2 linked regions of the Drosophila melanogaster genome follow. The protein of the gene in region 2 interacts with the protein of the main gene of each other region in a pairwise test. Each region holds a gene or a part of one and is shown on either strand. Other genes may lie near its edges.

The links. The genes of interacting proteins can lie anywhere in the genome.
Region 1: the proteins of CPT2 (region 2) and SLC5A11 interact in a two-hybrid assay, tested with the Drosophila melanogaster proteins (one large-scale study listed by BioGRID).

Annotation. Positions count from the first base shown.
Region 1 is NT_033779.5:8,199,940-8,207,149, forward strand, and holds SLC5A11 (Sodium/solute co-transporter-like 5A11), read right to left. Parts: upstream 5,194-7,210; 5' UTR 4,757-5,193; coding exon 4,748-4,756; exon of another isoform or gene 4,553-4,747; intron 3,698-4,552; coding exon 3,588-3,697; intron 3,531-3,587; coding exon 3,375-3,530; intron 3,308-3,374; coding exon 3,148-3,307; intron 2,992-3,147; exon of another isoform or gene 2,595-2,991; coding exon 2,529-2,594; exon of another isoform or gene 2,471-2,528; coding exon 2,419-2,470; exon of another isoform or gene 2,361-2,418; coding exon 2,293-2,360; exon of another isoform or gene 2,237-2,292; coding exon 1,823-2,236; intron 1,786-1,822; exon of another isoform or gene 1,770-1,785; coding exon 1,078-1,769; intron 1,022-1,077; coding exon 946-1,021; 3' UTR 526-945; downstream 1-525. Other genes in the region: PGAP5 (Post-GPI attachment to proteins 5), read left to right, coding at 1-94, 163-341, 407-416; CG8419 (uncharacterized protein), read left to right, coding at 6,340-7,210.
Region 2 is NT_037436.4:2,979,425-2,984,089, reverse strand, and holds CPT2 (carnitine palmitoyltransferase 2), read right to left. Parts: upstream 3,069-4,665; 5' UTR 2,968-3,068; coding exon 1,904-2,967; intron 1,843-1,903; coding exon 1,048-1,842; intron 931-1,047; coding exon 786-930; 3' UTR 539-785; downstream 1-538.

The DNA.
Region 1 (7,210 bases), on a different chromosome or scaffold from region 2:
TCACTTCTGTCACAGTGTAAATCGACTGGGCATCGATGAGTACACGGTGGCCTCATTCAGCTGGCGAAACAAAGTTAATCCCAGCTTTATGCTGGTGAGTATTATATTTGCTCTTACGATTGTTAGCCCTTCGAACTTGTACTAACATGCCATAACTTTTAGGCCACTATAACCCCCGATGACTATGTGGTTTCCAAGTGCAAAATGCTGCCACAGCAGTTTGTCTTCAATAGCTATCTGAGTGCTGGCATTCTTTGCCTAATTGTCATCGGGTTCCAGCTACGAAAGTGCATCCAAAGCAGAAGACAGTCGTCGGCTGTAGATCATCGGAAGGTTAATTAGTATGTATAAGCATGCCTATACAAGGCATATCCTCTTTTGTGATTTACGCCTGATTGGGGCTTAGTTTAGACTAGATACGCCAGATTCCAGACTCAGATCCCAGATCCAGATCCAGACAGAGGTCATATCATTCCTGCTGCTTTGCAACCGCTTAACTATATTCTAGGTGTACAAAATTCGGATAGTATGTATGATCTATTTATTGAATTTATCACAGACATTATGCTTGTAAAGTCAAACGGAATACATAATGAGACACAGTCTGCTGACTACAAATCGAAAATGCCAAAAAAATAATGCTTGAACAAAGGCTGGAAAGTAAAGAACGGATACAAACAGAACAATTAAATAAAGCTATATTATAATACATTTACTATATAACGTTAATGATTGTGCACTCTGTATTCTGAGATGCAGATTCATAGGTTCCTGTACTTCGGTTTATGTCTTCCAATATCTGGATCACATTGTACTAGACTAGGCTATCTATAAGGTAACTACCACAAAGCAACTACAACTACAAACTATGCTAACAAAACAGGGTGTGGAATTCAATGCCATCAATTCCATTAGTTTGGCACAGGAAGTTCTGGTTCGTCTATTTTAGGATACGTTTAAGAGGTTTTTGTGCGCCTGCGCATGGAGATTGCGACCACTAAAGCATTCTTTTGGAAGGAATCTAGAAGAAAAAATGGGTTTAATAACAGAGGTTAAACATGTGGTTACAAAAATTACCTGTGAATCACTGGTGATATTAGATCCGGATCTAGTGTTTTCATATTTGTGGGTTTGGTCACAAGGGAGACTAGTGCACCTACCACAATGACTGTGGCCACACCAATGGGATTTATCCAGTGGTAGGACAGTCGGTACAGTGGAAAAACTTGCTCCTCATCTACCCATATATTTTCCCGAAGCGTTACATTGCCCACACATCCCTCCACGGATACGGGAAGCTTTTGAGAATTCAATTCACCCGCTGCGATGGTAAACTGCGTTCCAAAGGATATCCACCCGGCGAGCAGAGCACTTGCAATTCCGCCCACAGCAGTGCCTACAGTATTGGCCCAGGGAACGAGCATTCCCAGGGTAAACAGGCCAAAAGTGGTTCCAGCTGCGATGGCCGTCATTGAAGTGCAAATGCTCAGGATTCCACTCAGTTGTTCCAGGACAAATACCAGTGATAGGGCCACAAAGCCAAGAACTATAACAGTTGACTTTACCAGAATGGTGGAGGCTCTTTCACTTGGTTGCATCTTGAAGCAGCCGCGAACTATATCCTCCAGGATTACCAAGGACGTTGAGTTCAGAACCACAGAAAGGGAGCTCAAGGCAGCTCCAAATATGCCGGCTATAAACAAACCAGACATACCATAGATATGACCCACACTCTGAACGACAAAGAGCGGCAGTAGCTGATCGTCGTGCTGCAAGGAAATAAACGTAAGTAAAGTTCAAAAACAATTTATTATTTACTCACTGTTATTAGTCCCGCACTCAGAGGATCACAATCTTTGTACATCTCATAGATTAGCAGTCCCACATAACAACAAACAGAGACGAAGGCAGCCACGCCAATTGTAAAAATGGCCATGGAAGCACGAGCCTTCTTGAGCGATGGAAGAGACATGTATCGCTGGACCATGGTCTGGTTGACGGCATTGAATGAGGTCCAGTAGGAGAATCCCCCGATTAGGACGCTCCAAACAGTGTGCCTTACATAAGGCGATGGGTTTGTATTGTTAAAGATCAATCGGCCACCTTTGGCAGCATCATCGAAAAGGACATTCAAGCCATTTGCATAGACAGTGGCCAAAATAGCCACAGCAAGAACGGAAAGGAACATGACCAGCACCTGCCAAGCATCTGTGTGGACCACTGCTTTGATTCCTCCCTGAAAATAGGCGCCATTAGTATAAAAACATACGTATGAAACTCTCTAAAACTTACGACAAAGGTGTAGAAAACACACACGACCACAATTACCACTGCAATCACATGGAGATTAATGCCCGATACTGCAAGATTATCGAAAGATTAAAGTTGTGTTTCAAACAATTAACAAATGCGGCTTACCCTGATTCAGAGCTATAGCTGGTACATACACAATGAAAGGCAGAAACAGAATCTAAAATTGGATCGACAATTATTACAACATTGCAGTCCAAATATTATCTTTGACTTACCTCATCCAGAATAAACATAAAGGATGCAATACTTCGTACGACCGAATGAAAGCGCATCTCCAAGTACTGAAAGCAATATTATATTTCATAATTCAAATGACTTGCGTTTAGGATTCGAAAACTAACGTCATAAAGACCGAAAACGAAAACTAATTGCTCGACACAATTGTCAAGTGGCAGAAAACCACATTGCAATTAATCATATCGAACCGCTGGAACCCAGAAAAAAGTCGCAACAAGTGGGCGAGTGCAAAGTCCAAGAAATTCCACTTGAGGGGAGGGTGGTCTCCGATTCCCAGTTAATTAAAGTGTTCACTACGTCCTCCGTTCATTGATTGGACAAAAGTGACGGAGCGAAAGGGGGAAGACGGAAACATCTTAGAAAGTTTGTCATTCTTATCAGCAACCACTACAGATGAACTTGTCTATCTTTATTTTAACTAACTCGTCATTGAAAGAAATGGTGAGTATTTTATAGCTAAATTAATATTTCCGTTAAAACCCAATTTACATTTTTGGTTGCGTTCTGGACGTTATTACTTTTACTGTTAGCATAAGCTTATTGACCCATTAGATTGTAAATGTATAAATCAGTTTATAGAATTTACGAGTATCGTACCTCATAGGAAGAGCCTACTTGAAGAGCCGAGAACACTGGTATGTAGACGTAGGAGACGGCAATACCTTGGAGCATTATTGCTATGGCTATAAACCAATATTGCGTGCCATAATTGTAGATCTCAGAGGTTGTGCCCAGTATGGTAACGCCCGATATATAGCTGGAAATAAAAGGGAACAGATTGTACAGGCATATTTGGAGGTGCGGGATCGCATCGCCAACTCTACCTGGCTATCAGGCTCATGGCAACGGGGAAAACTTTCAGATTGCGTGACCCTAGCAGATACTCGCTCATCTTCTCCGATCCGAAATCGTGTTTCCGCCTTTTTGGCGTGGTCGTCGGCAGAGTGGGTTCCGCCTCCTCGAGCTTCACCTTGCTCTTCCTGTAATTACAACAATTGTTTGGCAATATTCCGAGGATTTGTTTAAAGGTCACTCACTTGATGCACCCGAAATAGATGCCCGTGCTGGTGGATAATACGATCATGCCCAGGAAAACGGCATAGTCCACACTGCCAAATCTGTAGTTCTCCATGCCCTTCTTTGCCACCTAAGAAAAAGAGTTAATTTTGGGTCAGTTTATGATCTTTATATGATTTAGTTTAAAGTTTGTTGTGATTCTCCTTGGCAGTGACAATCTCTATCAGGTGGTTTTAAAGTTCAGAAACTTAATTTGTTTCTTTTGTAAGAACAAGTGTGCGAAATGAACTCAGAATTCATATAATCATCGCACGTCTGGGTCTGTGGCCAATATACTTGTAATTGCTGTAGTTTGTCTTAAATGGGTCATAAAATGAAAATGAGACTCTTGCTTTTAAAGTACCAACTGTGTACGGTAAGAGATTTTCTTAAAAGCTAGGTATAAAAAGTTAGCAAATACATGCTAATTACAATTATCTCGCTTTGTTTATTTATGTATTACTCCACAATACATTTTTATCTGCTTTTAAACAGTTTGTTTCGCTCGTCCAAAATGCCATGGCTTAATCATATTATTAAAAGTGGTACTTAAGTCCCTACAACCACAATGTCCATGTCCATGTGAAGTTATGGGAACCAGGTCTTATCAGCAGGTGCCTGCTTATTATTCATCAATCTCTACGGACTAGAGACTTTAACCCTTTTCCCCATGTATTATTTATTTAACATGTTTAGCAATCGCTTCAAAATTACAAAACATTTTATTAATATGATTTCGCGTTATTATCAAATGCATATTTGGCAAGATAACTCGTTCTGGTGACTTTGACATTATCCAGCTTTGGTTTTCTAGATTATGAATCTTTTGTTATTAGCAAAATTAATATATTTTTAATACTCCCAATTTTCTTTTACTTTCTTAGTTCCTATCTAATGATGCAGACGGTGTTTAGCATAAAATACTAATTTTTCGTCTGCCATTTAGGTTCATTGACTGGATGATCAATCGGAGCCGATCGAATCTCAGAGAAGAGACTTCAACCTTTTACGCAATATCTCGAGCAGCAGCAGCATTATCGCCCTGGACTTGGACTTTGTAACCCAAATGCCGTGTCCCCCGCTCCAAAGTTCCTAAATAGCTCTTAATGTTTGGAACCGGCGAAATGTGCAAAATACGTACCGCTTCCATATTGTTGGGGACCGGCAAACGCTAGGCTTTACAATGGTGGGGGTGGCTTCCGTAACTGGAGCAGCGGAGGTGAATGGAAAATTGCGCGTCCCTCACGAAAATCAACAGCAAAGCAACGCACGATAAACGGCCAGAAAGAGCAAACTACCAACAAATTCTGCGAAACGTAATGAAAATTTTCTTGTGGCAAAAAGGGTCAACGGATTCCGTGTATTTCCATTGGTTTTTAAAAAAGGGTTCTATAAACGTACAAAGTTAATCACATGGAACACATTAAAACAAAACTCGGAAACGCACGGAAAAGTTTTTCAGGTCTGTTCTGTGCGCTTTTGCCCGATTCTTTGAAGTCGAAAATACGAGTGTACAAAAGCGAAATATTCCACGTCCGAATCGGAGCAACAACATCAACCGATTCCGCTTCCGAACTGCAACTGATGTCTGCGAGCGGGTCGAAAATAAAAGCCACTAGGCCAGCTGCTCGACAAAAACAAGTGGGACAGCTAGAATGGAGAGTACCGATCAAAGTATACCCATTACCTCATATTTAACATAGGAACAACGGAACAGAATAAAAATAAAATGTATAAATAAAACTAAATGTATAAATGACTCAAGTATTGGGAATACAACTGATATTTTCTGGATAAAAGTATTATTTGTAACATGAACATAATATACCCCTTAATACTGCGCTCGAAAAGCTCCCTCTCCCAACCATTTATCTTGCCATTGCGTATAGAGAGAGTAAAAGAGCGAGTGTTGTAAATGTGTGGGGGCTTTGGCAAGATTAGGTGGGAGAGAAAGCTTCGTTGCTTTTGTAATCCTCACAATGTATTATGTCAATGTAAGTGGTTACTTGGCCATTCGATCAGCTAATGGAGCTATTAACGGAAGTTTGGAGCAGCTAGTTGCATTCAGATGAAAAAATACTCAACTGTTGTTATCCGCTATTATTCGAACAATTTTAAAAACACATATGTTAAAAGGTTATTAGTATTAATATGACATTATGGGTTTTCTGTAATATTGAAATTATTATATATTCACTATCAATTGCTCAAGTAACGTGTAGTAAACTACACACCTAAGTTTACCATTGCCACATTTAAAAATAGAAGTAATTTGAACACTCCCTTTTGGTGGTAAATGAAAAAATAATTGATTCACTACCGACATCGGGTCCATCTAGAGTTTCACTTCACGGGTTTAGCGGGGTACTCGGAAGTTGAGACGTTCCTTTGGTTACTCCGTTGGATCTTCTCCCACCCATCATACCACGAAATACTCTCTGGATTCAGAAAATCAGAAAGTCAATCAATAGCAAGTGACAGGTTGTCATGAAAGAACTATTTAGAATGAGCAACCACAACAGATAATTGCACAATTGTCAGTGTCAGACTTTTGCCACCATTCGCACTCGCAGTGCGCCGTGGGTTTCCAATGAGGAATGTAATTGGATTAGGCAGCAACCAAGTCCGAGACCCAGTCTCAGTTTCAGTCCCAATTGCAACGGGAACACGCGGTGGTGCTCCAGATTGCCTGGAATCCGTAGTCCGAGCTGCAGGATTGCATAACCGGGAAGCATGAGCAGGGAAAATCGCTCGAAAATCGCTTTCAAGCGAAAAACGAGTAACGGAAACAAGAGTGGCCAGTTAACGGATTACGAACGCATCCGAGGGGATGTGGAAATAGTTGTTCCGAGCCCACCTCCTACTCCAGCTGTGCCACCCAGTGCATCCTTAGGGAAACTTAAGATAAAGTTGAGTTCTGCCAAAATTTCCTTACGAAAAAACGCACAGACTTCGCAGAATAATCTGCAGACCGCTCCCTTACCAGACGCAGTGCGTCGCAAATCAGCACCACAACTTTTTACCTTTACTATTGCCCCAAAGAGCGAAGTGACTTCGAAAATACATCTACCCTCAGTGCCAAAGCTACCGGGTTTGGCACCAAAGAGCTCCATCCGAAGATCTAGGACTTTGGGTTTGTCGAATAGTGCCCAGGGTGCAGGGTCATCAGGTACAGGGCTATCCAATGTCGAACTCGGTGTGCAGGATAGGGACAGTGGCAGTGAGCCCACTAGCAGCTTGGCTGGAGGAGGTAGCTCTACTTCGCCTGAATCCCTTTTGGATAACATACTCAGCGGTGCCTCCTCCGTTTCCGTACAAAGTAGTAGCAGCAGCCAAGCCAGTAATGCTACGGTGGCACAGCCCATAAAAGCAAAGGAGCAACTGCATCCCAAGAGGCTACTCAGCTTGAAGGCTTCTCCGGAGCTGAGAGTATCTCCACCAACTCCAGACACTACTCAACCCCAGGTCCAGATGCCAACTCAACTTCTGCTTTCACTGACTCCAAGACCAGAGGTCTTTGATGCACCCTCACCACTGACCAGAAGTCCCTCACGATCTCCCGGAATCTCTCCCCCCGTGTCACCATCACCCAGCATTACTCTCA
Region 2 (4,665 bases):
TTCGCGATTGACGTGTGCGGCTGACACAAATCGAAAGGCAACAACTTGGCCCGAAGGGTTGGTGGCCAAGTTTTCTGGGTCAGCGTGTGGGAAATCTTTAATCAGAAACTGTTTAATGCAAGGGTTTTTCCCCCACTTATTCCGGGATAAACAAGTTGGGAACAGGGTGTGCGTGGGCACACATCTTGTTTAACTTAAGTGACAATGAAAGGTCAAAGTTTACGCATGCTTAAAAGGAGACTCAATAGTTAAACCAACTCAAAAGGGTTTGTGCCATACATCGTTCTGTGTGTTGATTTTACTTAGGAAAACAAAGGATCGAAAGATGTTTTCTTAAAAAAAAAACATTTTCTTACGCAAAATAATCTTAAATGCTTTCAACCGCTCTTATTCGATTTTACTTCAGCTCGTTTATCATAACTCTATGTTCAATTTTAATATAAACTTCTTAAACTCTTTACTTTAAAGTTGTTTTCAGCATTGTTTTAAAACGTGAGTTATTTCTCGTATTCAATTGCAAATGTCAAGCCAGCAGCATCCCAACAATATGTTAGCCAATTTATTATCCCATCAGCCGCAAAAGCCATTAAAGCAGCGGGTATAAAAGCAAAGACACAGATGCTTTAGATGGGGTAGAATGTTTTCAGTGTATAATCTATAAATTGTAGATAAAGATATTGCAATTCAGACACATGGGATACAATGTAAAAGCATCAAAATAAATCTCCCTGTTACGTTAAAGCCATATTCATTGGATTCGGGGTCGGACTCCTCACGATTTTCTCCTACTTCTTGCTACTGCTGCTCTGCTGGATGACAGCGCAAATTTTATCAAATGCCGATTCCAGACTGTCTATGAACACCTTCCCATCGGCCTGGTTTTTGTACGTGGTGACAATGGCGCCGGCAAAATCGTTCTGAATCGAATAGCTGAAAGAATAATGGGTTATCAACTGTCAGCTAGTGAACAATTTGTCGAGGCAACTTGAAAAATAGGTGCTGCATTTGTACATTCAAATACCCAATCTCGACAGGCAGTCAGCTTACCCGATTCCGAAGCCATTCTTGACCACCGGACCAAAGGAACCCGCTAGCAGGGCATCTGAACCCAGTGTTGAGGTACTAATGATGTTGTTATTAATGCGCTTGTAAGCCTCAGTCTCATAGAGATCGGGAATTGGTATTCCCTCCTTTTGGGCCGTGTGCCGAAGGGCAAAGAGATGCCGATCGAAGCCCTGGCCCATAGCCGCCTCCTTGGTTAACTGGCCATGCACCTTGCTGCAATTGTCGATCATTGCTCGTAGTTCTCCGGCGCTGGGCTTGCTCCTCTCCGGCTGGAGGATAGCTTCACAGAAGTCCCGTGTGGCATTTGTGCACGGTCGCATCGTTTCGGTACGTCCGTGTCGGAAGGCGGATGTGCTGCAGGATTCGTAGCTGCCCACATAGCCGCTGTAGGCTTGGCGATAAGCCAGCTGGAAGGACAGCTGAATGATGGAGTCCGGACTTAGGCCATACTGCTTGCATGTGGGCTTGTTGATGTGTGGGTACTTCAGCACATTCATGTCCAGATTATCTACAATGCTGGCGTTTTTATTATAAGCCTCCGAAACGGCCGACTTGGTGGCATCGTCGATTTCGAAGTTGATGGGCCGCACGTTGCTAAAATCGCCTTCGGCGGGAGTGTGCACTGTCTCCGTGGATACAAACGGCTGCTTCAAAGTATCCTTGTAGAGCTCGTTAAAGTAGCGAAGCACAGCCACTCCATCGCCCCACGAGTGCTCGAAGTTAATAGCCGTTGTTCCATCTGCACTTATAAGCAGGGAAATGGATTTGTCGAACCAACTGTAACAGAACAGGATGATTTTGTGAATCAGGCAGGCTTTACATAATGTCGACTTCTTACCGATTCTGCGCTTTTCCCGCCAGCAAATGCTTGAGCAGCGGCTCCTGCTGGTTTTCGTTAAAGACTCCATCTTCTTCGCCATCCAGACAAACGCAGAACAGAGCCGCATCCACCTCTCTCTCCAGAAGATCGGCATTTTTGGTGTTGCTAACAAAATGCTGTCTTGTCTTGGCCCACTCATCACGCTGTCCGGAGGTCAGAACACCAAGTGGCACGCTGGCTGCCTCGCGATCTGCATCAAGCTTAAGCACAGCCCTTAGTCTGCCCAGAATCACACTGGGACTCTCGATGTATCCACTGGAGTCCAGCACATTTACGGCGTACATGTGACCGCGGCGCATAACCAGAATGTGCTTGGCGTCCGGTGACTGGACCAGCTCGTCCTTGCCGATCCTAGGAATCCTAGAGGTGCCAAACAACCGGTTGTACTGGCTCATGTCCAGCGGAAAGGCCTTGAAGGCATAAGACGCGTAGGTGGCAAAGGCTTTGGGAGCCACCTTCATCCACCTGCGGTAGCTGGAAGTGTCGCTCTTCTTGGCGTTCATGTGGTACACCTCCGGCTCCAGGAGATCCGCCTGCAGAGATCGCCAGAACCGTAACGAGCTGATGATCAGGTTGGTAGCCCTAACCACCTGTTGCTGGTACTCCGGTCGCGCGTCGCTTTTCATCACCAGCAGCGGATTATAGTTGAGTGGCAGGGGCGCTCGATCGGCTAGATACATGTCGAACCAGGGCTGCGAGATGTAGCTGGTATGCTTGTTCTCTGCATCATGGCTCTTGAGTTTCGCGTGTAGTTCCATGCCGATCCCCTGGCGAAACTGTTCCACCGTTTGCTGGGTCTGCGCCTGCTCCGCCGGCGAGAGTAGTGGCTTGGTGGCCTCCAGGAAACGCCGACAGCTGTTCTCCAACAGAGGAATGGGCAATCGCGGCAAGGAGCGCTGAAAGTACAGCGTTGGCAGCTTGGAACATTGCAGGTATTGGTAGTGCTGGCCATGAGTGGTCGTTGTCCTCGACGAGTTCGTCGATATCCACGACAGATTGCGGTGCACCCGGGTCCGAAACATGGCTATCCACTCGATGGCTTTCCAAATTGAGTAACTTTTGTTGTTTAAACTCGAGAGGCGACGTTTCAAAGTCCACAACAGAAAGTCCAACAACAAGATGAAAATTCGCGAGCCAGATCAGCTGTTCGCCATTGATGATCACAGCTGATCGCCGTCATCGATAGTTACCTTACGGTATTTTTGGTATTTTTCAGTACCTGTAATGGCGCCAAAATATTTGAATATCGTATATGTTTGAAATTTACGATAAATAGATCTTTGCGGATTTTATTATTATTATGTATAACTGTACTATATTATATGGGTTAAAATTCATGTTTAATATCTTTTGTAAATTTTTTATATTTATAGCACTATAAATTGAATTTGCAATAATCAGATTCCAATCGCATGCCGGGCACGAAATTTTGAATTGTCATGATTTTATTGAATTACCATAACGACGATAATGAGAAATGAAATTACCACTCAAAATCAGCGCTGCTCTTCGCGGTCAAACATTTCGCTTTCACGGCTCGAGTTTCACATTTGGCTGACCTTATGGCTAACATTTAACATTTGAGGTCCGTGCTCGCAAAGGAAAGGGCTTGCGGATCTCCCTGAACTCCGCATAATTTCGCACTTTGCCCCGAAGGACTACGTTTCCGTATCCCTTTTCCGCATTTAATGCGCTTCGCTTTTGCACTTTCGCTGGCTTGTTAAATATTAACGCAATTTCACTTCGCCCAATTACACTGCAACCCATCCGCATCCTCATCCGCTTTCGCCGATGCCTCTTATGCAAATTTAAATGGAAAAGGGGATTCCCCTACTCACTTTACTTAATTTGAGGAATTGAGGGGCAGTGGATTTTATTCCGCAAGCGTCGACTGCAAAGTGCACAGATGAATCGATGGGAAGGAACGCTCGTGAAATTCGACAAAGTATAAAAATTTTATGCGCATTTTCATTTCTTTCTTAGCCCCGTAATTTAAGTAAACCATTTGTGTTTTTTCCGACTTACCTGGGAACAGTGACCGGTTGGAATACCCGCAGGAGCCTTTGACCCACCACGTCTGCAAGATGTCCTGACCCCTCCGAAGATCTGTTTCTTCCCCGGGAAACCCTCGTCGTCCAAGCTCCAAGCTCCTCGACCAGCAGACATCAACAGCGGGCAAACAAATAAACGCCACGCAAATGCAAACAAAACGCTGTTTATCCACGGACCAAAATCGCCAGGATGCCATTGCCAAAAAGGTGAAAGGACGCTTAAGCACTTGAGCGCCTCCGAATCGAACAAATCGATGGGTAATTGCTTTGCCATTGCCCCGCGCATTTTAAAGACCAACTGCGACTTTAAATAACTGGTGGGATAAAGGACTTCAATTGGAAAGAAAAATAAATAAATAAAATTAAATGAAATATGTTGCATACTAGCACAGATTGAATTAATGTTTTTGATATAAAATGTAAACACAAAGTTAGATTTAAAGGCGCTCTTTTGTGACATATTTTTTCCACTTTTTTCGCCGTTAATAACAAAATCTATTCAAGGACCCTTGAATGTGTTTAAAAAGCATACAATCTCGACACTCATTAACAACCAACGGTAGTATAAAATTTCAACTGTCGCCGCCAGATGCGAAAACACATAAAAAACCTCTAAAAAATCCTTTTCTTTTCTGTGCGCAGAAATCAACATTTGTTTCCAGAGTCCTT